Kluyveromyces lactis: one gene and its partner. The protein of the gene in region 2 interacts with the protein of the main gene of each other region in a biochemical or structural test. Links are inferred from orthologs where the notes say so. Each region holds a gene or a part of one and is shown on either strand. Other genes may lie near its edges. The genes, in order: UBC9 and KLLA0_A02189g.

Region 1 (11,759 bases), on a different chromosome or scaffold from region 2:
GGAAACAAAAGCACCAGTAGTAGTAGATTTTATGAACACATTCTTTGAAATATACTCAGACATGAACTTTGATTACGATGAACCAGTATTTGTAAACTTGAACTATCTTTCGATACTTCAAACACAGGTTTCATTAAATTTGAAGAATGTTTTCAAGTTTGTTGACAAGAACAAAGATCCTCAACTGAAAGAAAGATGTCAGGATTGCTTTTCTACATTGGATAGTTTTATTGCATACAAACAAAATGAACGTAACAAATAAAACAATAAATATATACAGTCTACACCTGATAATAGTAAAATACAAAATAATTGAATAAATCAAGTATTCATTAGCATTATTCTTGATATTAATTTTAAATTTTACACGAGAACTATACACCTACTGGATCGTTCCATCCTATGATATATCTCTATACAGCCATATAACAATGGTCAACACCGTAGAATAAATCGAGCCATAGAATACAGCAAATTTATTTGATTTGCGCTTTACGCTGGGGAAGGCCCAGGGTTTCCCGCAAGTTGATATCTGCCGTCATCTGCGTATTTGCATTTTCTCTGTCAGTAAATGGTTTACTTCCGAAGTTGTATTATGGAGGTATCACTTGGTATACCTAAGAGCTTGTTCTGAGACTTTCCTCTCATATTCCTTAATGTTTTTCGAGAAAGCTCTCCAAGCTGGCTCTTGCGCAGGTGAGTTAGGGTTCGGAGAATCCAAAAGATCCTGTACACCAAGTAAGAGTTGTTTCAAGGTGATAGCAGGTCTCCAGTCCTGATCTTCGTTCAAGATTGATAAGCAAATGGTTCCACTGGGATAAACATTAGGGTGATAAAATCCTGCTGGAAATTTCACTTTAGGAGGTTTTGACGGATAGTCATCAGGATATTCAATGGTCAAAGGATAAAGACCATTTTTCCAGAGAGTGCCGTCTCTTCCAGGGATACCAGCCTCCCATTTCTGCAAGTTCATAGATCCATCTGTCTTTTTAGTTGGTTTGGCAAAGAACCCATAAGGATGATCTTTTCTCCACTTCTTTCTCTCCTCTTGTAACCTCTGTAGACAAAGACTACTCATGACTGTTTATATTATTCGGCCGTTCTGATCGTCGAGTCGCTTTAATATACAGATACCGTAAATATATTAAGGTACGTTGCGCCCTGTTGTAAATAGAGCCTTAACTCAGATTTACCGTTGTTGAATAATTGGAGGATATGATATTCCGTGCGATACGTCTTTTTGTTTGTGATTTTGAAGATGATTTTGATATTGTAGAAAAAGCATCAATAGTGTTTTGAAGAAAAAGTGATATTTTTCAGAATTGACAGTGACTAAAGAAACCTTAACTGAGGTATAATTAATAGTAAGGGCTACGCACCACCAAAATTTCAACGGATAGTAATCAGATACTTCGACAAACGATGTCAGACAACAAAGTTGACGAATTTGATGATTTGGATGACTATTTAGAGGATCCACGCAAACTGGATGAACAGGAAAAACAAGAAACTGTTCCAAATGAGGCAGTTACTAAGGGTGAGCCTGCTACGCAGAGCGATGATCCAGAAGTAGTCGAGATGATGGAAGATTTGCAGAAACAGTTCCAACAATTGATGCAGCAGGAAGGCGGTGATACTGACCAAGAAATGGTTCAGAATTTCGAGACATTGCTAACTGTACTTGGAGATGCATCGAAGGAGAAAGACCATAACAGTGTAAAACACGTTCAGGAGCAATTGAAGAGCGGTACTGGTTTCAAGAATATCATTTCCAACACCCTAGATAGATTGAAAGAAAATTCTACGAAAGTGGATGAAAGTTTGGAGGAAGAGAAGAAAAATCAGAACTCAGACGATATTCTTTCCCAATTGCTAGATCAACTAGTGGAAAACGGCGATGGCAACGGTACGGACGGAGAAGGAATGGACAATGCCATTTTGAAAATGCTTTCACAAATGTCTTCTAAAGAAGTGCTATATCAGCCGATGAAACAAATGCAGGGAGAATTCACCGAGTGGATGGGATTACACGAAGAAGACCCCGAACACAGCGACAAGATTGATAACTACAAGAAACAGTATGCACTTGTGAATCAGATCATCGGTGTATTCGAAAGCGATGATTATACGAATGAAAAGTACCATGCTGAGATCGCAGATCTATTGGATGAACTAGAGCAACTCGGTGACTCACCGGTTGCAAAGGGAACTAGTAACGATCCTGGAAACGATATGTCAGAATTAGCCAAGATGCTGGAAATACAAGGAGATGAAAATCTAGGTAACATCGACAAAGACCTTGAAGATACCTGCAAACAGCAATAAAATGTGTATATGAGCTCATAATATAATATTTAATCATAATAAACTATTATTCTATTTCTTTCACTCTTTGCCTATTAGTATGATATTCGAATAATATGGCTATTTTTCTCTTTTCGACTTTGAAATTCATATTGAGGACTGAAATCACGAGACTAGCTCTAAACCAATAATAACCAATATACTATGCAAGATTGAATATATGTGACAACTTTTTGCCATAAGGTATACGGGACAGTGCACTCTTCTGAGTATCTCCCATTAGACACTTCCCTCTCAAAGAGCACCCTTTCTTTTAGCCATTCTTTAACACAGCATGTTTGTTCTTACATGCATATGTTCGCATATTTACAAAATAAATTGAGGAATGTTCGTATTCTATTTTTGTCACAGTCCTATGTTCGAGCATGGAAAAACCAAAATAAAAGAAAATTGAATATGAAAGAGTTGATCTACCTTCTTAAACCATGTTAAAATTTTGGACGAAGTTTGTTTCATAGTGAAAGAGGATTGTTTTAGTCCATTCAAGACCAAGGTTATACTATCAACTGAACTGTCCATTCGTTATGCGTTTCTCTACTGCTCTAGGTGCTGCTTTTTCTCTTGCTGTTTTATCTACCGAGGTTGTTGCTACTCCACCAGCTTGTTTATTGGCATGTGTTGCTCAAGTCAACAAGAAATCTGACTGCGATGGCATGCAAGACATTGCTTGTATGTGTAAGTCAGACGGTTCTGATTTGACCTCTTGTTTGAAGTCTATCTGTCCAGACGGTGAGGCTGATGCTGCTCAAGACGCATTGGAATCTACCTGTAAGGCTCAAGGTGTTACATTGGATGATGATGTGACCTCATCCTCTTCATCCTCCTCCTCCTCTTCATCCTCATCCTCATCCTCATCCTCATCCTCATCTTCTTCCACTCCATCATCTTCAACATCTTCATCTTCCTCTACTCCATCTAGTTCATCTTCCTCTTCTTCATCCACCTCTGAGGAACCAACTACTTCTTCTGCTGAACCATCTTCTTCTGCCGAACCATCTTCTTCTGCTGAACCATCTTCTTCTGCTGAACCATCCACTTCTGAAGAGCCATCCACTTCCGAAGAACCAACCTCGTCCGCAGAACCAACAACTTCAAGTTCAATTGTGTCTGAAACCACTGCTGCCCCAACTTCTACCTTGGCAACCTCAACTTCCGCAGAACCAACTAGCACTCCAACCACCATTGCCACTATCTCCTCCGATGGTGCTAATGCTTTGTCGTTAGGAAACGCTGTTTTCGGTGGTTTGGCTGTAGCAGGTCTATTGTTGTGAACTAGCAACCTTTGCAAATCAATTAATTCTAGTTACAAATTACTATAACAAAATCTAAACAGAAAAGTGGCCATAGTATTGTCTGACAAAGAAATCCAATACGTTCATACGTTCTTTTAATGGACACCAGTTCGGACCATTTCACACTGATTTTTCTATTCAAAAAGCTTTCTTCGATACCATTTATTAAAATATACTTTTCAATTCTTTTACTTATCTTTATACTTATTTAAAAAAACTTTAAATAGGAACCTTTAACAGTATAATTTACTGCTCTTGAATATCAGTAATATGTTCATTCACAGTACTACTACTTTTCATCGCTTATCTCCGTAGTTCTTCCAATTCACGGTATCGAATAGATCAGATCAGTGAGTATTAAAAAAAAAGAACATTATAGCGTAATAGTTTCAGCAAAGAACGTCAGAGTAATGAAAGAAGGATACTACATTGTGGCTTCACACAAATAATCCTCGGTTGTCAAGCATGCTACCAATATTTGGCTCTAAAAGATGTCTCAGTACTTCTTCAATCAGTTACGGTTTGTTCCGTAGATTGAACAATAACATCTTAAACTCTGCTCCTCGTGATATTAAGATCGAAGAGTTGAAGAAGCCAATTGGCTTGGAGAAACCACCTTTTAATACCAAGGAATACAAGTACGGTAACAGTTTCCTGGATTTATTCAATAGTGAAAAGACTGGCAAGCGGGCTGAAGAGTTGGAAGTTGAGTTTAGAAAATCTGGTTTCCACGATTTGTATGTGTTGAAGAAGACTAACGGGAAGATATTCATCTCACCTCCATCTTACTGGAAGGCTGACAAATCATTATATTTCCCTCATGTAGTCGGACAACGGCTATCAGATAATAAAGAATGTAACGTTGAAGATACCTTAAAGGGCAAAGTCTCTATTATAAGGTTGTTCACTACCGACGTCGGTAAAAATCTGATAAACTCATATTTTATCGACAACAAGCATAATCTGGACTACCTTAAGAATGATGAAAGCCTTTTAAAAGTGCAAGATGGGCTGAAGAGTGCTCAAATAGTGGAGATCAATTTAGCTGAAAATTGGTTAAAAACTATGGTCGTCAAATTGGTCAAGAATAGATACGCATCAATTGTTCCACCTCACCGCCATGACAAGACATTTATTAGCAATAGAGACCAATTACCATTCCAAATTAGGGAGCAACTTCAAATTAATAATCTATATTCCGGTTATGTTTTCGTTGTGGATGAAAACCTCAAGATTAGATGGGCAGCATGTGGTGAAGCTACACAGAAAGATTTCAATCTACTTTGGAAATGTGTAAAAGCTGTTCGAAGCGAATAGAGGAGAAGGAAAGAAGTCAACTCATGTAAATAAATCAGTGTATACTACAAAATAAAAGATTAAACCTCAGTGTTACCCAGTGTTTTCATCTTACAAGATATGACGATATGACGATCTCTTCACTGGTAGAACAAATTTAGTATGGAATTTTGAACAAAAGGTACTTTGAAAAAAGCTAAATGCTTTTCAGAACCTCAGTGTCTTCGGGCACTTAATTGTGCAGGACAAGGAAGAAGCGCAACCGCTGCAGTTTATTGCCTTAAAATACCAACATGCACTTCACCAAAGCTTTATTTCAACAAGCTCAGCCAAAGCCAGTTTCTCCACATGCAAGAATCTACAGGGTCTGGGGAAAACCAGTCAGCAAGATGGTACTATTTAGTGTAGGCACCTATTACATCCTTTACTGGGCATGGGAACTGTTAGAAAAGCAAGAGCAGAAGCATGTACCAAAGAAAGCTACAGAGGTAATTTGTAAATGAACACCATCACTGCTTTCATTTCGATGACTGAATTCAGGTCATGATCTATTCGGTAATAGAATCTCACAAAAGTATTTAACTTTGAGCCAAAGATATCGGTTTTACCGCAAGACGGGCACATATATTGTGATATAAAGGGTAATCCTCATTTCGCTATTACTTTATGATTATATTTTATTGCAGTGACGAGGCCAACTTGCTGGCAGTCGTCATCGAATCTTAAATAATATGTGCATTTTATACTGATCATTGCATACAAGAAACTAAAATTATATTATCCTGGGAAGCGTAATTCAATTCTGTTAAAAAACACTGGTACCGACGACACCTAATTCAGTTGAAATGCTCCAGGTTCACCTTAGCAATATACTCTGGCCTAAAGTGACTATTATAAATAAGGAATGCTGCCACTCCATTTCATATAGAAGATGTTATAGATAAAAACCTTAAGAATGAAGCGGTGGCTCAATGGTAGAGCTTTCGACTCCAGTTAAATCCTGGAAATTTCTATGGAAACAAAATTGCAATCGAAGGGTTGCAGGTTCAATTCCTGTCCGTTTCATTTTTGCATTTTTTTTGGAAATCACTACCCCAACTCAACTGGAAAACTAGTAAGCAATAAGAAATCCATGGTGGCTGGAACAGCTGTTACACCGTGAACGAGACCTTCTTGGAATGAAAAACATAAGGTATTAATCTCTAGAGATTTTTTTAGAATGAGCCTTTGAATTGTAAAACCTACATAAACTATACTATCATTAATTATACTAATACTAATATTCCCTTTATTAAGATAAGCAGTTCCCTAATTCTATTACAACTGAGGAAAGCTATACAGTGAATCCATAATTATTCCGATGTTTCCTTGTTTGCTTCAATAATATTCAGACTAGTGCTATATTAATTCGCTTCTTCTGCGAGTTCTCCATTTTCCTCTTTATCGTCAGATTTCTCTGTTGTTCCAGTCGGCGTAGGGGGTTGATCACTTTGCTTGTTCACATCCTCTCCTACGTATAGCACGTTATTACATCTGATGAAAATGTCCCCAACTTTCCCACTTGAGACATCATTTATGATCTCTTCCGCATCTGTTAGTTGTAGATTGAAATATGTATCTACCGATACAAGTCTTCCTTTATATTGTATTTTATTGAATTTGAGTGTCACCAGCACATCTTTGTCTATCAATTGATGTAAAAAGGGTTTAGGGTTAATTGGTTTGAATTCCTCTGGATCCTGCAACGTTTAAATTGGTTAGTAAGGTGACAAAATCTGTGGATTCATCGATCGCAGATGGACATAATCGTCCTAGCTGCGACCAAAAAAGTATGGAACAAGAAAACTTACCATTTCAATACGTTAATGCGCGGGTGTTCTGATATGTATCGATTACACGATATAATTCGAGAATCTGTTAAAGGTTTTATTACGTCTGTTGGTTGCTACGTAATGTTTTCGTTGTCTATCTTTTTGCAATACTGTATTTTCATGTTTTTCAATATGGCATGGAAATATTAGATGCCCTACCAAGGGAACAAATAAAACAAACCAAAGTAGTCCGGACAGTTTTCAAAAGTTTTTATGCCATGCACTGGGTAAGTCATACTTAGATATATATTAAATAATGACAATACGATATGTTTCTTCCAACAGAAGGAACAGGGTTCATTCAAATTTGAGTCAGTTTTAATGAAAGGTTTGGTTTACCTGAATCGTATTCAATTCTTAACATGGCCCACGTCAAATCCACAATCACTGACGAGATGGCTAACGCATAAACCAAAGAAATGGCATAGAAAAAGTTACTATTACCGGAGCCTAATCCAATCCATAGGTAGTAGAAGATTGGTGACAAAATGATGGCATGAATGAATAAAAGGGTTGATATGACTGGATATCTTAGATACCCAAAGATCGGTTTGAAAAATGGGATAAAACTTAAGAAAAACCCTCCGTCACCTAACGTTGGGTATGATTTGGTGAGCGTAATCCAACCTAGACATAGAACAAATGCGTAAAACGATTGCTGATTGAATCTAATAGTGAAAGGTGGGATAAATGAAACAACAAATATGTTGAACACAGATTTGAAAAATGGGATGAAAAATTCGAACATTTCAATAAAGAAATACCACCACAACCCTAGATTTGGCCTTATCTTACTGAAAGTAATCAATATCCAGTATGTTGAAGTCAAATAGTTCCAGTTATCGTTATTTAACTTGAAACTGATCAACTGCAAAACAATCGATACCAATGTACACTTGACAACAAGGCCGAAAGAATTTGATCCACAGATTCCTGCCAATGGGATCAACAGTAGATAAGCGTAAGGTGATAAATAACCAGCCAACGCAATGCATATGGCTGACAGTGAGAACTGTCTAGATAACGCAAATAGTAAAGAAGTAGAAATGGAAAGGTTCACAAATAGACATGTCGATTGTGAGACACATGATAAAAGTACCAAAGGGTTCACTGCATAAACCACACCTGGAATATAACTAGGAATTTGCAATTGGCGTTGATATATCTTAGCTATTTGCATCAATTGATACGCTATTAGAGTGTCCATGGCCGCAAACAAAACGGGCATTAGAAACTCCGCTTGTTGAACGAATGCCATTAAAGCTACCAGCAGAGGCACATGATGCACAACACCACCATCATAAATGGGCAAATTATGCAGTAAAAGATACGCACCTTCTTGCAGAGATCTATAGCTTGTAACCGGAGTAGAAAACTCAACGGTTCTGTCCAATTGCTGCTGCAAAGAAGGGAACAGGTACGAAACAGCCAATCTGGACGCAAAACAAGCCCATACAACCTGCCATTCGGACGAAACCATAATCACCTCAAGCGACACAACAAGTCAACACAGTAGGGTCACTTCGTATCCTCTCAGAATCGTATCACCGTTCAATGCAAAAAAACAAACCAATCGTGAACCGAGCTTCGTAATTGCAGTACAAATTATGCATATTTGAAAGCTTATTGTATTGAAATGAAGTACATCAGTTAAATCAATGGTAATACAAAAAGTGATCCACACAAACATTACCCGGACACGTGAACAGTTTACTCTAATACGTGTTTACATATCACGTGATTAAGATACTCGCTTCTAAAACAGCAGAATTTTGCAACCTGCAGTCGAATGTCAGGTTTAGTCACAACAATACTGTGTTTAACCGATAATCTTACAGCACTGAGGCACAGAGATCTGAGTTCAAGCCTTTCCTTAGTGGGTCATTTTTTGTTTTGCATTATTTGGCATTTTCTGACCTTGAAAGAAATGTTTTGATGAAAAAAATATCTAGCAATACACAGGATTTATCAACACAACAAAAAGAGAACCAGAGTAGCCTGTAAAAGTCCAATTGCTCAGGCTAAGGTGAGTGCTAGGGATTTGATCTGTTTGAACCACATAGAAGATTTATACATTCTTTTCCAACTGCTTATAGATTGGAATCAAGAGATTTAGCACCATGGATTTCGAACAAAACGAAGATATTAACGGTGTTCGTTTCTCATGGAACGTGTTTCCAGCGTCAAGAACTGACGCTAATAAGAATGTGGTTCCAGTTGGATGTTTATACACTCCTTTGAAGGAACGTGAAGATCTTGCTGTTGCTGGCTATAATCCTGTGGTATGTGGTAACATCAACTGTAAATCTGTGTTAAATCCTTACTGTGAGATCGATGTTAGATCCAATACCTGGACTTGTCCTATTTGTAAGACAAGAAACATTCTTCCTCAACATTATGCCAATATGACGCAGGAAACTTTACCACTGGAATTGACTAATACTACAGTTGAATATATCACCAGTGTTCCTGTCCAAGTTCCACCAATTTTCTTCTTTATTGTGGATACTACTGCAGAAGAGGAAAACCTCCAAGCTTTGAAGGAATCAATTATCACTTCATTGTCCTTGCTTCCTGCAAATGCATTAGTTGGTCTAATCACTTACGATAATGTGATTCAACTGCACGACTTATCATCAGCTTCTATTGATAAATGTAATGTGTTCAGAGGTGATCGTGAATACCAATTGGCTCAATTAGTTGAAATGCTAACCGGTGAAAAATTAAATGCTGCACAAGCCGTTAATATCAATGCTCCAACCAAGGTTACACCTTTCTCTTTGAACAGGTTCTTCTTACCATTGGAACAAGTTGAATTCAAGTTGACCCAATTGTTGGAAAACCTGAAGCCTGATCAATGGGATGTGAAATCTGGTTTCAGACCTTTAAGAGCGACTGGTTCTGCTTTGAACATTGCATCGTTGGTGTTGGAAGGTTGTTACAAGAACGTTGCTGCTAGAATAATCTTGTTCTCCTCCGGTCCTGGCACCGTGGGCCCAGGTCTTGTCGTTTCCCCGGAATTAAAAGACCCATTGAGATCTCATCACGATATTGATTCTGATTCTGCAAAACATTACAAGAAGGCCTGTAAATTCTACAACCAATTGGCTCAAAAAGTCGCTGACAATGGTCATACAGTCGATATTTTTGCTGGTTGTTATGATCAAGTTGGTATGTCCGAAATGAAGAGACTAACAGATTCCACTGGTGGTGTCTTGTTATTGACTGATGCGTTCTCCACCGCTATTTTTAAACAGTCATATCTAAGATTCTTTTCTAAGGATGAAGAAGGTTATTTGCAAATGGCATTCAAGGGTACCTTGTCTGTTAAGACAAGTAGCGATCTAAAATTACAAGGTTTAATTGGCCACGCCTCTGCTGTGAAGACTAAGACCGAGGCCTCCAATGTCAGTGATTCTGAGATAGGTATTGGTGGTACTTCTTCTTGGAAGATGTCATCTTTATCGCCACGCCACACTTACGCTGTGTTCTTTGAAATTGTCAACCCGGGTGCATCTGCTGAAGTAATGACAGATAGGCCTAAGTTAGCTTACACCCAATTCATTACATCGTATGAACATTCCTCCGGTACAAACCGTGTCAGGGTCACCACTGTTGCTAACCAAATGTTGTCCTTTGGAAATCCAGCCATTGCATCCTCCTTTGATCAGGAGGCTGCTGCCGTTCTAATGGCAAGAATTGCTGTTGACAAGGCAGAATCTGATGATGGCGCTGATGTCATTAGATGGATTGACAGAACTTTGATTAAATTGTGTCAAAAATACGCTGACTACAATAAGAATGATCCATCATCATTCAGATTATCTCCTCAATTTTCATTGTATCCACAATTCACATATTATTTGAGAAGATCTCAGTTTTTGTCTGTTTTCAATAACTCTCCGGATGAAACTGCATTTTACAGACACATTTTCACTAGAGAAGATACCACTAACTCACTGATTATGATTCAGCCTACTCTAACCTCATTCTCCATGGAAGAAGAACCTCAACCAGTGTTGTTAGATTCTGTTTCAGTGAAACCAAACACAATTTTGTTGTTGGATACCTTCTTTTATATTTTGATTTATCACGGTGAACAGATTGCTCAATGGAGAAAAGCAGGTTACCAAGATGATCCGCAGTATGCAGACTTCAAGTCCTTATTAGAAGAACCAAAGCTTGAAGCAGCAGAATTATTGATTGACAGATTCCCTCTACCAAGATTCATTGATACTGAGGCTGGCGGTTCGCAAGCCAGATTCTTGTTATCCAAGTTGAACCCATCTGACAGTTATCAAAGTGGTGCTGTCGCTGGTTCAACTATCGTGTTGACTGATGATGTTTCTTTACAAAATTTCATGTCCCACTTGCAACAAGTAACTGTTAATGGTCAAACATAATTATTGTCCTGATGGCAGTAGTGTTGAACATACCATGCTTATGCTTTCCAACCAGGTACATATTTGATAAAAATCTCATAAAGCGTTTTATGAGCATATGTTATATAAATTAGTCCTATATAATGATACTGATTGCTAAATTACTAAACCAGGGTCATTAAAGTTCGAATACCCACATATCTAAAGACGTACCATCAAAAACAACGAAGTTATTAAGCGGAGATTGCCTTTTCCCTAGAATATTTATCACGTCTTGTGCAACGGCTCCTCCAATGATTGCTGCCACAGGACTGATTTCTACAGCGGCTTGTTCAACAAATTCTTCAATGGTATCATTGCTGATTTCTCCAATTAATAAACCAAGCTGCTTACGAGTTAAATCATACTTCTTCCTAAAATCATCTAAATTTATGTTTTGAAAAGTTTCATACTGTAATAGTGTAAGAGTTAAGGGAACCTTTGGAGTCATTCTTTTCAATTGCCGTCTAGACAATTGGTTAATAAGTGTAGCAGATTTCAGAAGTTCTTTCAAT
Region 2 (13,652 bases):
GTCAATAGAAATAAAAGTGTTATCTTAGGACTAAAAACGTAGGATCCTAGATTATACAGAGCTCTGAGACAGTGAACCACAAATCTAAACCGTTAGCGATACACACAGGGCCTTTCTGAAAGGGATTTCTTCTGCTTCTATTCCTCCTTTTTTTGTTACATTTTTTTGATTCCTTATTTATACGTGCATTCATGGACGCCGAATCTGTTGAACCCTTTCTGGTTTACCTACCGATCCCACAGAGAGTTGTTGTCCTTGTGTTATTAGGGTTATGGCTATGGACATGGTTCCTGAAGGTATCAGTATCCTACTACGACGTGTCCAAAGTAATTGTATCCAATGAGTCCACGGGACTACCTTACTTTAACACATCCACGAAAATACACCAATCAAGCCTGAAACTGTTCAAGTCAATCTCTAGAGTCATTATACCGTGGCAATTGGTATGTATAATCTTATTCCAATACTCCTTCACTAATAACGTATCCAACAAATTGCTTTGGTTTTTTTTGAATGTTTCACCACTACTGGAGTTGTTTTACATATTTGCAATGATATTAAGGTCATCAGCAATGGTCGCAAGGTGCTTTAAAAGAATACTTTGGGTAGCTGACATTGAACCAAAGCCGTATAGGAATAACTATATTATAATTAGTGATACTTTGACCTCGTACTCTAAGCCATTGGTGGATTTAGCTATTTATGCCACTTTCCTTTTCCATGATCCAACAAACGTCAAGTGTCAAGTGGAAAGATATGAAAATGCTATATCGTTAAACATTGACGTACTTGTTGGAGTCTTGCCCTCATTGGTCAGAATGATTCAATCGTTAAGAGAATTTACAAGAGGAAGGTCTCAGAAGAAAGATGGTTCACAATTGTTCAATGCTTTTAAGTATGCTGGTAATATTCCTATCATGCTAGTTACAGTCTATACAAGATATTACAACCTGGGCCCACTTGGAATGATGTATTGGTTCATGTTTTGGAATTCCGCGTATTCATTCTGGTGGGATGTGACCATGGATTGGAAACTAGAGCTGTTCGATTTTGTGAATGGGGACACTAGTGTCAATAACAATAATAGTAGTAACAAAGCGGACGGTCTTTTAAGAAGCATTTTGTTGTACCGGAAAAATGCGTGGTATTATAGCGCTATGGCGCTCGATTTTATTTTGAGATTCGTATGGTTCTGGGAGTATATCAGTGGGCACTCTGTATTTTATGGGGAATTAAACATCTTTTGGTTACAAATTTTAGAGATAATCAGAAGATGGATTTGGTTATTCTTTAAAGTCGAGGTAGAATACATTGCAACAACAGAGGGGGGGAAAATGGATGAATGAGATGTTTAGAAAGAGAGGAAGATAATAAATAAAAAAAAAAGGTTAATTACTTCCTACGTTTATTATTGTTGGCCTTTCTTTGATTTTGTCTTCTCTCGTTCTTGGTCAAGTATCTGAACTTCTTATTCTTTTTACTCTTATTACCAGATTTTTCTTCAACTCCCAAAAACTTTGCATATTTCTTCGCACGTTCGATGCTTTGATCTAAAATTTGTTCCGATTTCTCTAACTTCACATTATTTAATTCCGCAAGGTACTCAAAATTGTCATTGGGCTCTAAGGGTTCGATGTCTACCGTAGTATCATCTAAGTAAGTCTGTACATATTTCTTTAAGATCGGTTTCACACTAACAGAGTCAGAATCCTCTTCTTCTTCTTCAGTTGCATCTCCGTTATCATCGGAAAATCCCGTCCATTCTTCAGCCTCTTCATCGCTTCCCTGTTTCCCATTTTCGGCTTCTTCGTCGTCGTCCTCTACACCGACATAATCACCGACATCTTTCATCGCCTGTTTAAAATCTTCAAGCTGTTTCTCAAGAGCCTTTTTTTTATCTGCTCTGATCTTGGCCCTTTCCTCGAGCCTAGCTTTTCTCTCTTGCTCTTGGATGAACTCCTTGGCTTTCTTTTGTCTATCAAGCTTTCTCTTATGGAACCCAGTTAAGTATTCCAACCGTGAGTCCTTATCGAACTTTACCTCATCAGCACCGAATTTCTTAGCAGCTTTCTGCTTGTAAGATTTACCACCGGTAAGAATCTCACGATTACTCTTTGCCACCATTTTCACTCTATATCCACACTGCTACTCTGTATCTTCTGCAGAACTTGAACCGGTCTCAGCACCACCTCAGTAAGTGAAAAGCCTATCTGCTTTCTTCAGCTCATCGCATCAGCAAGTTTTTCCGTTTTAATGCTTTTTCCAAATATTGAAACTTCGAGATACAGAAAGAAATACATAGATAACTATAACATGATTGCATAAGGGCAATCTAGCCGTCCTGACCTAATTTATCTAGACCAATTCATATGCTCTGCCATGCACTAAGTAGAAAACAAATCTAGGCGTATACCTGTGTAGAGGATCATTACTTAACTATTCAATTTCTGTCATTCTGTGCTTTCCTATCTATGTCTTTCCCATAGCTTTAATTTTCGGGTTCTATGAAATTTCAGTTCCAAGTTGCAGTGAAAGAAAGATATTTATACTCACTATACAGATGCGCTGTCAAGATAGACACCGGAGGTACCATTCAGTAACATCAGTGGGATATACGATACGCGTGATTATTCATAGCAGCCATGACTATGCGTAACGAATTGATACAGTTTGTAGGACAAATTCCACCGGTGACCCGAGGAATATGTCTCTTAATGGTGTTAATATGTTTGATCCAACGCTTGAACGTATTACCGTACTATTTCAGCGATTTCAAATGGTCTTTACGTGGTGTATTGTTCAAGTTCCAAATCTGGAGGTTGTTCACTAGTTTCCTCATCTTACCAAACGATGCCATGAAAGCATGTTTCGACCTATACGCAGTATACTCGAAATCGTTACATCTCGAATTAGTGCACTTCAGCAACAAATCCATCGATTATTTGTTTTACATATGTTTCAACTTTGCATTGATCGTCGTGCTCGTAGAAGCATGCCAGATCTCATACCCAGTGTTCACTAACGCATTCATAGGAATGATCCTATATACGTGGACTCTGGACAACAGCAACGTGAAGGTAATGTTCTACGGATTATTCCCAATCTTGGGTAAATATCTATCGCTAGTGCATCTTTTCGTTTCGTTCTTATTTGATGACGGGACCGATGGTTACAGCAGGTTTTGCGTCACAATGGTCGGGTTTTGTGCTGGATACGTTTACTCCTGCCTAGACACATGGACTTACGGTCCCTTGTACGGTTATCTGATGGGGAAGGACCCAGCGTACGGATTCTCTGGAAGAGGTCATTTCAGATCACCAAGATGGTTCTCCTCGATCATTCTATGGATAGGACGTGTCCTATCCATCACCTCCAAACCCGTTTCGTCATCAAACAGGACAGACCCCGTGACCAGAAGAAGGTTGAGAACCCCGTTAAAGAAAAGCACTTTCGCTGGAACTGGAAATAGATTAGGGACCAAAATAGACTGATTAAGGTACTAATAATCCGACATACTGTTATCTATATTATCTACATCTCCCTTGTGTATATATCATTTGTGTTATTTTATTTACCCCAGGTTTAATGGAAATATGTCGACAATGGAAAATTGATTTTGTATGATGGTTCTGCCTAAAAGCCCGTTATGGCGAGAAAATAGTTGATGATCAAAAAGTGTTGGAGCAAACGAATGACCACAGGGACCAAGAGTGGAGGTGAAGCACGTCTTGGGTACAGGATTGCAGAGAGTTACTGGTACAGGTTCGTTGATGATCACTCGGTTCGGACGTATATAACGGAATGGGCTCTTGTGTAATGAATGATCAGCAATTCGGATTTCTCGAGTTTCAGCCTTTTATGAATAAAACCATGTACAAATGAGCTAGTATTATTTAGTATATATATAGCTGCATTTCAGAAGTTAAGGACACCTTTCGCTTTTAATAGGTTTGTTCCGAAAATGGTTTCCTTGCCGGTTTAAACAACCAAAATCATCCTCAAGAAAGCGGAACACGATATAGAATAAAAGGTTTCAATTGTTGTGATATTTATTTTATTTATTAGTTAAATACCCGTTGTGAATACCAACACCAACAGTGACGATGAGAAGTATGGCATTTAGAAGCAGTGCTGGTATTAGTATGGGGATGAGACGCATGGGTCAAGGTAACAAGAAAAGTTCTATATTGAGACAGATGTCTGGTAAGATGCAGTATTCGGGGTATCAGAAGTTCCCTTTTGAGACCGGGACTAACGATGAGTATATTGCAGAAAGACCTAATTCGTATTATCAGGAGAAGAGACCTGGGTTCAAAGGAGCCACTTACTCAAAACAACAGGATATGCCATCCTTACCGATTCCGGAGTTGAAATCGACTTTGGACAAATATTTGAAGTCTATTAAACCGTTTTGTCAGACGGATGCTGAATATGAGAAACAGATCCAGTTATGTTACTCATTTCTTTCAGACCAAGGCCCTGCTTTGCAGGAGCGGTTGTTGAGTTATTCTCAGGAGCGGAGAAACTGGATGCAAGAACTATGGGATAGTCAGATTTATCTTGGCGATAGGTCACCTGTGGTTCCTTTTGTGTCATATTTTTATGGTCATAAGCCTTTACCAACTAGTCACCGTGCCATCGATGGCGACATGCTTGTTAAGGCCACGGCGATTATTTCTAGTGTGGTGAAGTTCGTGGAATCCTTGAAAGATGAAGCCTTGCCAGCAGAAGTGGTGAAGGGCAAACCTTTCTGTATGAACGGATTCCAATATATGTTCAATAATTCAAGGGTTCCTCAATTCAATATCGATACGAACCATTTTTACTCGATCTATGAACATGGCTACTTGACGGTTGCCTACAAGGATAATTTTTTCAAAGTTTATACACACGATAAAGCTGGGGCAGTCTTGTCCAACGCAGTAATCTACCAACAGTTGAATCAAATTGTCAACCATTTGGGTTCACAGGGTTCTTTGATCAATGCAAACGCTGGAATCGGTGCATTGACAACTCTTCCTCGTGATGAATGGGCTGGCGCTTATCAACAATTGCAATTAGAACCAGTATCTTCCTCCTCTTTAGAAACCATCCACAAATCCTCATTCGTCTTATGTTTGGATCAGGACACTGCTCCAATAACTTTGGAAGATAAGTCTAGAGTGTGCTGGCACGGAGACGGAACCAATAGATTCTTTGACAAGCCTTTGCAATTTTTTGTTACTGGTAACGGTTTCTCCGGTTTCTTGGCAGAACATTCGAAAATGGATGGTACTCCAACTTTGTTTTTAAACCATTACGTCGTGGATCAATTAACAAAATTGAATCCTTCAGCGTTCGTCGAGTCCTTACATTCCAACGTATCAGCTTACCCTTCTGTGAACAGTGAACATCTACCATTTATAATTACACCAACCTTGAGAAATACTATCGAGAGTGCAAAATTGCAATTTATAACAACAGTGGAACGTGAAGATTTACGCGTTTGGCACTATAATAGGTATGGTAAGAGAATTGTGAAAACATTTAAAGTGTCACCAGATGCTTACATTCAACAGGTGATTCAACTTGCTGTTTTCAAGTATTTGAAGAAACAACTACCAACGTACGAAGCTGCTTCTACCAGAGCGTTTTTCCAAGGTAGAACTGAAACTGGTAGACCGGTCACTGAATCCTCTTCCAAGTTCGTTAAAACATGGGAATCACCTACTTCTACTACTGAAGAGAAAATTGCTGCTTTCTACGATGCTGCCAAGGATCATGTTGAATATTTGAAGATGGCCTCTAACGGTGAAGCCGTTGATCGCCATTTCTTTGGGTTGAAAAACATGGTTCATGAATCTGATGAGCCAGTACCTTTGTTCCAAGACGCATTGTTCAAATACAGTTCTACTTGGTTGATTTCAACTTCACAATTATCCTCTGAAAACTTTGAATGTTACGGTTGGTCTCAAGTATACGATAATGGATTTGGCTTAGCCTATATGATCAATAACGAATTTTTGCACATTAATATCACCAACAAACCAGAAGCTTCTGGATTTAGTGTTGACGAACTACACTATTATTTAACTAAGGCGGCAGATGAAATGTATGAAACTTTGTCTCTACACAACTCTGCCAAGGCCAAACTATGATATAGCACAGGCACCAGTTTATATTGTTTTAGTACGAGTCCATTATATATGATATTCTAACCACTTTATGATCTATTATGAATTACTGAACAAGGATGCACTGGCAACAATTGGTACCATCATCAACCATACGTTAACGGCCTATCTTACCCAATGATTGACATCTTTTCTCTCCCTTCAGTTACTGTTGTTCGCATATCTACCATATTATATATCAAATGAGAATATGGCAAAGAAATTTAAAATCGACCTTATCATAGTGAGTATACCGAGGAAGACACTTTATCACTGGATAAAAGAAGGAAGAAGCGTGCGAAGAGTGTCAATATGAGGTCGGTAGAAGAAATCAATGTGAGGACGTATAATCCTAACATTTATTTCAGCAGTTTGAACCAAACTCATCAAAGTGCAAGGGTCTCGAAACAGTCTCAAACCTCAGCAAGAAACAAGAGAGTCAATTATTCATTGGCTGATTTGGAGGCAAAGATATATAATCAGCCCAAGGGAAGCGATAAAGACGACATAAATCAACTGACAGGATCTGATAAGCATGCCTTGCCTGATTTGTTACGATCTAATAAGCGGTTCATGGAACTTGACACAGAAAACTATCAAGATCTTCGTGAAGTTACAACTCTTCTCAGTAACATCACGGGGCTGAACAAAGATAAGATCGATCAAACAAGCACCGGTATATTATCTGAGCAACAATCAGGCTCAGGTTCATCCAGACAGAGGATGGCCAAGTTCGATTTGCCCAAGTCTATGAATTTATTGTATAAATCAAGCAAGCCGCCTCGGAAATCAAAGAAAAGTTCCAACAGAATATCAGCACTAAGGAAAGTACTTTCAAGCAGAAGGTCTTTACACTCCTATCTAGAAACTTTAGACCAAGTGAACCACACACTCATTTATAGTAACGTTCAAAACAAGAAGTTTTTCAGGGTCTTACCAATGATCGTCACCTGCTCTATGTGTGGTGGTTACTCCAGTATATCTAACTGCGTTGTTTGCAATGACAAGATATGCAGTCTTCGCTGTTATGAATTACACAGTGAAACAAGATGTAACAACTGAGTTTGCTGCTAGCTGAAAAAACTTAACAGCTACTCTCTTTGAACCTCAAAACACTGCTCATGATCCCGTGTTTGTTGCTTCATGTTGATGTCTTTGTAAATACTGATTATAGTATAAAATCGAGGCCATTATCTTTTTTTTTTCATTCTTTCACTTTAAACAATTTTAATACCGATGAAAGAGAAGACTTTAACTTAACTATTTGTTATCGAACAAGACACTATTTGAACTCCTTGCTGTTGGTATTTAGCAGTACGCATCATATTCCATTAATATATCAGACCTTGAAGAATCCTTCACGCTGGTTTTTGGTTTTTATTCTGAGCTATTCTAGTTGAAATCAGTGAAGGTATTGGCGTGGATTGAGAGGTGCGGAAGTTATGTCGAGCAGAGATGATGAAAGTGAGGATGTTCTTGTGATTATTGATGGGAAAACATTTCCTAATATACAAAAGAACGAATTGGACGAGATATCTTTAACGGCATTTATGCTAGGAGTGATTTTTGGTGTATCCCTTATTACATTATGCCTGTCTCCTTTTTGGAACTTCAACATATACATGATCTCACTATCCATATTTCATCTGTTAGAGTTTTGGATTACTGCCAAATACAATCCTGGGAAATTGAATACAAACTCCTTTTTGATAAACAACGGTGTCGGGTACTTTTTGGCCCATTCGGTTGCACTGATAGAGACAATCATAGAACGCCTTCTATTCCCGTCGTTCAAATCTACAACCTATTCCTTTTACAACGAATTTATTGTTACCGTAGGAGTTGTATTGCTACTCCTTGGACAGTATGTTAGATCATCTGCAATGATCACAGCGGGGCAATCATTCTCACATGTTGTGAAGGTAACAAAGAACTCTGACCACACTCTTGTCACGTCCGGCATATATTCAAAGAGTAGGCATCCCAGTTACTTTGGATTCTTTTGGTGGTCTGTTGGCTCGCAGCTAATGCTGTTAAATCCAGTTTCATTGGTCATTTTTATTGTCGTTTTATGGAAATTCTTCAATAGTAGAATTGCATTCGAAGAAAGATACCTCGTGCAGTTTTTCGGGAATCAGTACATAACGTACAGGGAAACTGTAGGAGTTGGTATTCCCTTCATCAAATAGAATAGCCATTTCTTTTCGGTTTGGTAGTTGTAACAGTAAAAATACAATATTGTATATGAATGATTTATGAAGTTTTATGTATATACTTTATGCAGTTCATACTAAAACTTAACGTAATCCTTGTAGAATGTTAATCGGAGGTCAAGTCGATCAAATCGTCAGAATTAAGAGAGTCATTAGGAGGCGGTACATTATTTGAATTCATTATAGCCGGGGAAGGCGATACCTGCACATTGGATATGGGTGAAGGTGCTGGTAAGGTTCCAGAGTCATGGTTCCCGTTGATTTCTGAATGCACATTTTGTGCGTTGCCGTTGGAGTGTGCTCTTTTCTTCGGTAGAACATTCTTAAAATTCTTCTTGGGTAAAAACGGTGATACCTCTGGCTTCCTTCTTCTAGGATCATGGATAGGCGGTGGTTGAGGTAAATTCGGTGACATCGTAGAAGTAGTTGATCTCACTGGCAAAGTTGGTAGAGGTGGTAGTACAGGAACTCCCATGGAAGGAGGTTCTGTGGGCTGTATGGATACCTGTGTGACTTTATCGCTTGTTTGGCCACGCGGAGAACTTCCCATTGGTTGAACAACGATCCGAGAATTGCTATCAGAAAAGGAACCGGAAGGTGCTTGAGGGTGAGCTTGTCCATTTCCATTGAATAACATTGAATCTGCGTTTGTGAGTTGAGACATGTTAGGGAGTTGTGGTCCAACCTTATGTGAATCCGTGTTAAGAGGAGCCTTACCCAAAAGATTAGGTACTGGGGGTCGCGAGTTCTCTTGGTTATTCTCTGATAACAGTCTTCCTCTCATTTGACGAAAATTTGTGGGTTGTTCTGCGGCTAAATTCAGCAGATCATAATCATTCATTCTAGGATCCAAACTCGTTCTTCGTTCTGGTACCTCATTTCTAGTATTAGGGTCAATGAGTCCATTGACATTCAGATTCGATGTGCTTGTGACATTGTTTTCATGCTGCGATCTCCTGGGTACTCGATCAATGATTGAATTGGCAAGTTCTTCGATGAACGCCATATCTTCATCATCCAATAAATCGTTATCTTGGTTTAAATCGGTACTACTTGAAGTGTTATCGGAATTTTGTGAAGTAGACTGCCGGTTTGGTGGATTGGTTTTAGATGTCGCTTGTTCTATTTCGTCTTCTTCATCACTGTCTAAGGAAATTATTACATGTTCCGGTGGAGGATGTTCGTCATGCTGCTCTACAGCATGTGAATCTTCAGGCTTTATATCAGGTGTGGCCTCTTGTTTAATATTAGGTGCAGTACTAGCTTCCTGGTTGTGATTTTCTGTTTCATCTTTGATTACCCAACTACCGTCTTTACTAATTTCAACCTGCTCAACCTCTTCGTCGGTAGAACTGATGATCTCTTGCACAAATTCACATATTGCCAAATCTTCTATACGAATTTGCTTTTGGCAGACTGGACATTGCCATGTAGGAATTTGTCTCTGTGATTCAATAAACCACTGAGCGTCAAAACACTGTAAATGGCGACAGTGGATGGATTTTACAGGGTACTTCATCCTAGAATACGAAATCGGACACTGTAAAGACATAACTGTTGACGTAGTCATCATATCTTCATCTTCTTCTTCAGAAAGAGTCTGTTTGATGTACTGTAGCGTTGCAGGCCTAACAATTTTAGGGCTACTTAATGTCTTCTGTAACAATTCCTCTGTTTCTATTAGTTCGACCAAATAGACATACACCATATGGTCGTCTTTCGTAAATGCATAAACTAGCTGCAAAAGATTTGATTTTGGTGGCCAATTAATGTACGGCGTTAGATCAGCGGGTTTCGCAGTTCCTATCTTGTTCTTCAAACCGTGAACATTGTCTTTTATTTGTATTCCGTTAAATTTAATCTCATTCCTCAGAGGAAACTGAATAGGTATGTCATTACTAGCTCCAAAAGAATTGTTTATTCCGCAAAACACATAGAGTTTAATTTTAGGACTACTTTTGAGTAGTTTCATCTCCTCTTCTACTAGTTTAAAAGAGATGTTAGCAACTCCTCGCTTGCTTGGGGCCTCAGGAGCAGATTCGGAGCCTACCAGTCTCTTCAAGTTGTAAAATGGACTTTGCTGAAATCGCAGGTGAGGTTTACCAGCAAGTCTGTTGTTACCTATTAGAGCGGAAGCATCCTGGTGACCGGTTGCAACAGGATGCATGAATGAGCCTGTAGCAAGCGCATGCAATAATGTTTCAAACTTCGGTACTGGATCACCAGCACCGGCCTTTTTGACTAAAATGTTAACTGCTGGAATTCTGAACGGATCATTCATGCCAGCCCTACTTGGAGCCATTAAAAACGAAGATAGTCTATCTTGTAACTCCGTCTTCCGCCCACTTATCGGCAGACCTATAGAACGACAAACATTCTTTAGCTCTGCTACTTTAAGCAGCATGATCTCCTGTTTGACAGAGTCTATTGAAGTATCGTCCAATAAATGCTGCATGGTTATATGGCGTGTTTCCACCTAAAATACCAGAAATAACGAACTGCTCTCTCAAATTGTTAGTTGCCAGGAATGAAATAATGCCCAGTTGCGCCAATATATCACAAAATACCGATAGAGAATTACTTAGCTCTCAGGAACTAATTGTAGAAGCCCTTTGTGATTGTCTCCGATGACAAAAGAGGCGAACTGAGAGCCCGAAATATTGGCAAATAGGGACTTAAAGCTCTCAAAAACTGACAGCAATACTAGCAACAGTACCTTCCAGTAGATAAAGCCGAGCTTACCTAGACCGAGGATGTGAAGTTCATAAATATGTGTAGATTTGTTAATTATTTTTCATATCAAATCGATTCATTGTTATATCGAGTTGAGTTACATATTTTCTTTCAGAACGGACATTAATACTAAATAAAGCAAAAGATGGATAGTATCATGGTCGCCAAACTTTCTGTGAAGGGATTCGTAAATGGGCTGAAAGCATGTGAAGTCCTGATAGTATGGAAGGCGATTGCTGCTGGTACCAATGGGTAAAATTAGCTATGATACTAAAGATATTAAATTATGGTCACGTGATCAAAGCATCATCTCTTCAACTGATCCGCCGAGATATCAGCAAAGTTAAGAAGATTAAGCCGGCTAGCAGCAAGTATGAGTTCTGAAAGAACTGAGTTGTATATTTTTAATTTGTTACTTTCCGGGAGCTATATGTGCATTTAGCTGGTAGTTAAATCTTAGCCATAGTTACTGGACTGCAGGTCTGCCCATTGACTTGAACACATCCTTACACCACATAATACTTTGAAATAGTGAACCTTACATTAACGATACTAATTTCCCATCGATGCTATTATCATATACTAAACATCACTATGAAAAAGCTCTTAAGTCACCTCTCAAAATAGATGTTTTTATATTGATGTGGTTGATCAGACTAAGTATTATCGTATAGAACATTCCTTTCGGTACTACTCACATTCTGCGACTCTTTTTACGTTAAATATCAAGATCTAAATGGCACCAAAAGTTGTTGTGCTAATTTCAGGTTCAGGTTCGAATCTACAGGCGTTAATTGATGCTAAGAAAGAAGGCAAATTGCCTATAGATATCTGTAGGGTCATTTCAAGTAGTAAGAAAGCATATGGTTTAACAAGATCCAGTGATAATGGAATTCCTACCATTGTACAGTCTTTGTATTCATACACAAAGGACTTGTCGAAGGATGACAAAAAGGGTCGTGCTGAGGCAAGAAATAAGTTTGAAGCGGACCTCGCAGATCTGATACTGAAGGATTCTCCAGATTTGGTTGTATGCGCAGGGTGGTTATTAATTTTGGGTCCTACCTTTTTAAAGAGATTGAACGGATTACCGATCATTAACTTGCATCCTGCTCTTCCTGGTGCTTTCGATGGGACCACCCATGCGATTGAAATGGCGTGGAATAAGTGTCAAGAGCAGAAGAGACCACTAATTGCAGGGTGTATGGTACATTATGTCATTGAAGAAGTAGATAGGGGCGAATCATTGGTAATAAAAGAACTAGAAATTGTTCCAGGTAAGGAATCCTTGGAAGAGTACGGAACAAGGGTTCACGCTGCGGAACATGTCGCAATTGTTGAAGCCACAATCATAGCTTTAAAGGAATCAAACAAATTGATTTGATTCAGTTATAGTTCTATTCCATTAGGATCGCTTTCGCAGTTGCATCCTCTTAAGGCATCTTTTAAGGTAAGCTGTATAAGAATGTAAGTGTATATACTTAGTAATAACAAGAAGTAGTGTAACAGCTTTCTCAATTAACTGCAATTATATAGATATACATTGTAAATAAACCAAATCGTTGCCTGGAATTCTGTTTGCGAAAATAGCCCTTTGAATTCTTTCTTACATATTATTTTAGAATCCTTCGGGAATAGTTCAAGCCGTAATGTTTACGGTTTCCTCATCGATATCACATACTTTTAGTATAGATTCCTTAAGCACACCTGTAGTACCACGGGCAAACTTGTATGATTGTTGTTTTGGTTCTCTGACGTTTGGACACAAGTAGTTTCTCAATAATTGAGCGTCCTTCCCAACTTCCATAACGCACACATCGACGTTAGAACCTGAACCCAAATCGTTCCAGATACCTGCCTCAATGGCATCGGATGCTAACTTAATAGCTTCTTCCTTTGACAAGTCTTGGTTCCAATTGGCTTCTAGCACAGCCATTGCTGCAAGGGAACCTGAACCAAGAGATTGGTAATAACCCACATCTGTTGAACCGTGAGCATGGATCGAAAATAGATGCGCACCAGTAGGATCCACACCAGCAACAATTAGATATGCACCGATGTGACCCTGGTACTTGAACAAATGTTGTTTTAGCATCTGTAGCGACGATACCACTCTAGGCTCCCTTCCAGTGTATAATGAATGTAATTCAATATTCGACGAGATTAATTGCGTCACAGCCTCGGTATCAGCGGCAGTACCAGCACCAGCACACCAAATTCTAGGAGCAATACGATGTAACTTCTCACAGTTCTTATCTGCAACGATTGGACCCTGTGTAGATCTTGTGTCTGCAGCAATTATAACGCCTCCGTTGAACTTCACACCAACAATTGTAGTACCAGTAGACGTAGCATTGGGCTGCTTGTGCGACTTTTCCGCTAGATGCACATTTCTCTGATAATTCTCAAACGATAACCCTCCGGACATAGTTACTTTCCTTGCTGATACTTGTTACTGTTCGGTGGCAAATGGCCCTCTTTTCTCCATTATCAAATAACTTCCAGTTTATATATACGTAGAACTGTCAATTTCACTTAAAAGCCTGAAAACTTA

The links.
Region 1: the proteins of KLLA0_A02189g (region 2) and UBC9 form a complex in vitro, tested with the Saccharomyces cerevisiae proteins (11 studies listed by BioGRID, with this or other methods). The link is inferred for Kluyveromyces lactis from reciprocal best matches to the Saccharomyces cerevisiae genes SIZ1 and UBC9.

The regions. Positions count from the first base shown.
Region 1 is NC_006041.1:432,765-444,523, reverse strand, and holds UBC9 (E2 SUMO-conjugating protein UBC9), read right to left. Parts: upstream 1,079-11,759; coding exon 605-1,078; downstream 1-604. Other genes in the region: SYO1 (Syo1p), read left to right, coding at 1-262; PEX19 (Pex19p), read left to right, coding at 1,423-2,325; CCW14 (Ccw14p), read left to right, coding at 2,889-3,635; ATP10 (Atp10p), read left to right, coding at 4,122-4,973; mRNA splicing protein SMX3, read right to left, coding at 6,356-6,691, 6,803-6,805; GPI-anchor transamidase subunit GAB1, read right to left, coding at 7,125-8,303; GTPase-activating protein SEC23, read left to right, coding at 8,944-11,226; E1 ubiquitin-activating protein AOS1, read right to left, coding at 11,384-11,759. UniProt on the Saccharomyces cerevisiae protein: E2 ubiquitin-like--protein ligase mediating SUMO/Smt3 attachment to septins and PCNA. Seems to be involved in degradation of S- (CLB5) and M-phase cyclins (CLB2).
Region 2 is NC_006037.1:186,029-199,680, forward strand, and holds KLLA0_A02189g (Siz/PIAS RING finger protein), read right to left. Parts: upstream 10,821-13,652; coding exon 8,472-10,820; downstream 1-8,471. Other genes in the region: ERD1 (Erd1p), read left to right, coding at 192-1,346; rRNA-processing protein RRP17, read right to left, coding at 1,393-2,124; DFM1 (Dfm1p), read left to right, coding at 2,643-3,491; carnitine O-acetyltransferase CAT2, read left to right, coding at 4,104-6,137; VPS71 (Vps71p), read left to right, coding at 6,465-7,214; STE14 (protein-S-isoprenylcysteine carboxyl O-methyltransferase), read left to right, coding at 7,595-8,341; ADE8 (phosphoribosylglycinamide formyltransferase), read left to right, coding at 11,835-12,482; PUP1 (proteasome core particle subunit beta 2), read right to left, coding at 12,738-13,526. UniProt on the Saccharomyces cerevisiae protein: Acts as an E3 ligase mediating SUMO/Smt3 attachment to septins and PCNA. May be involved in chromosome maintenance.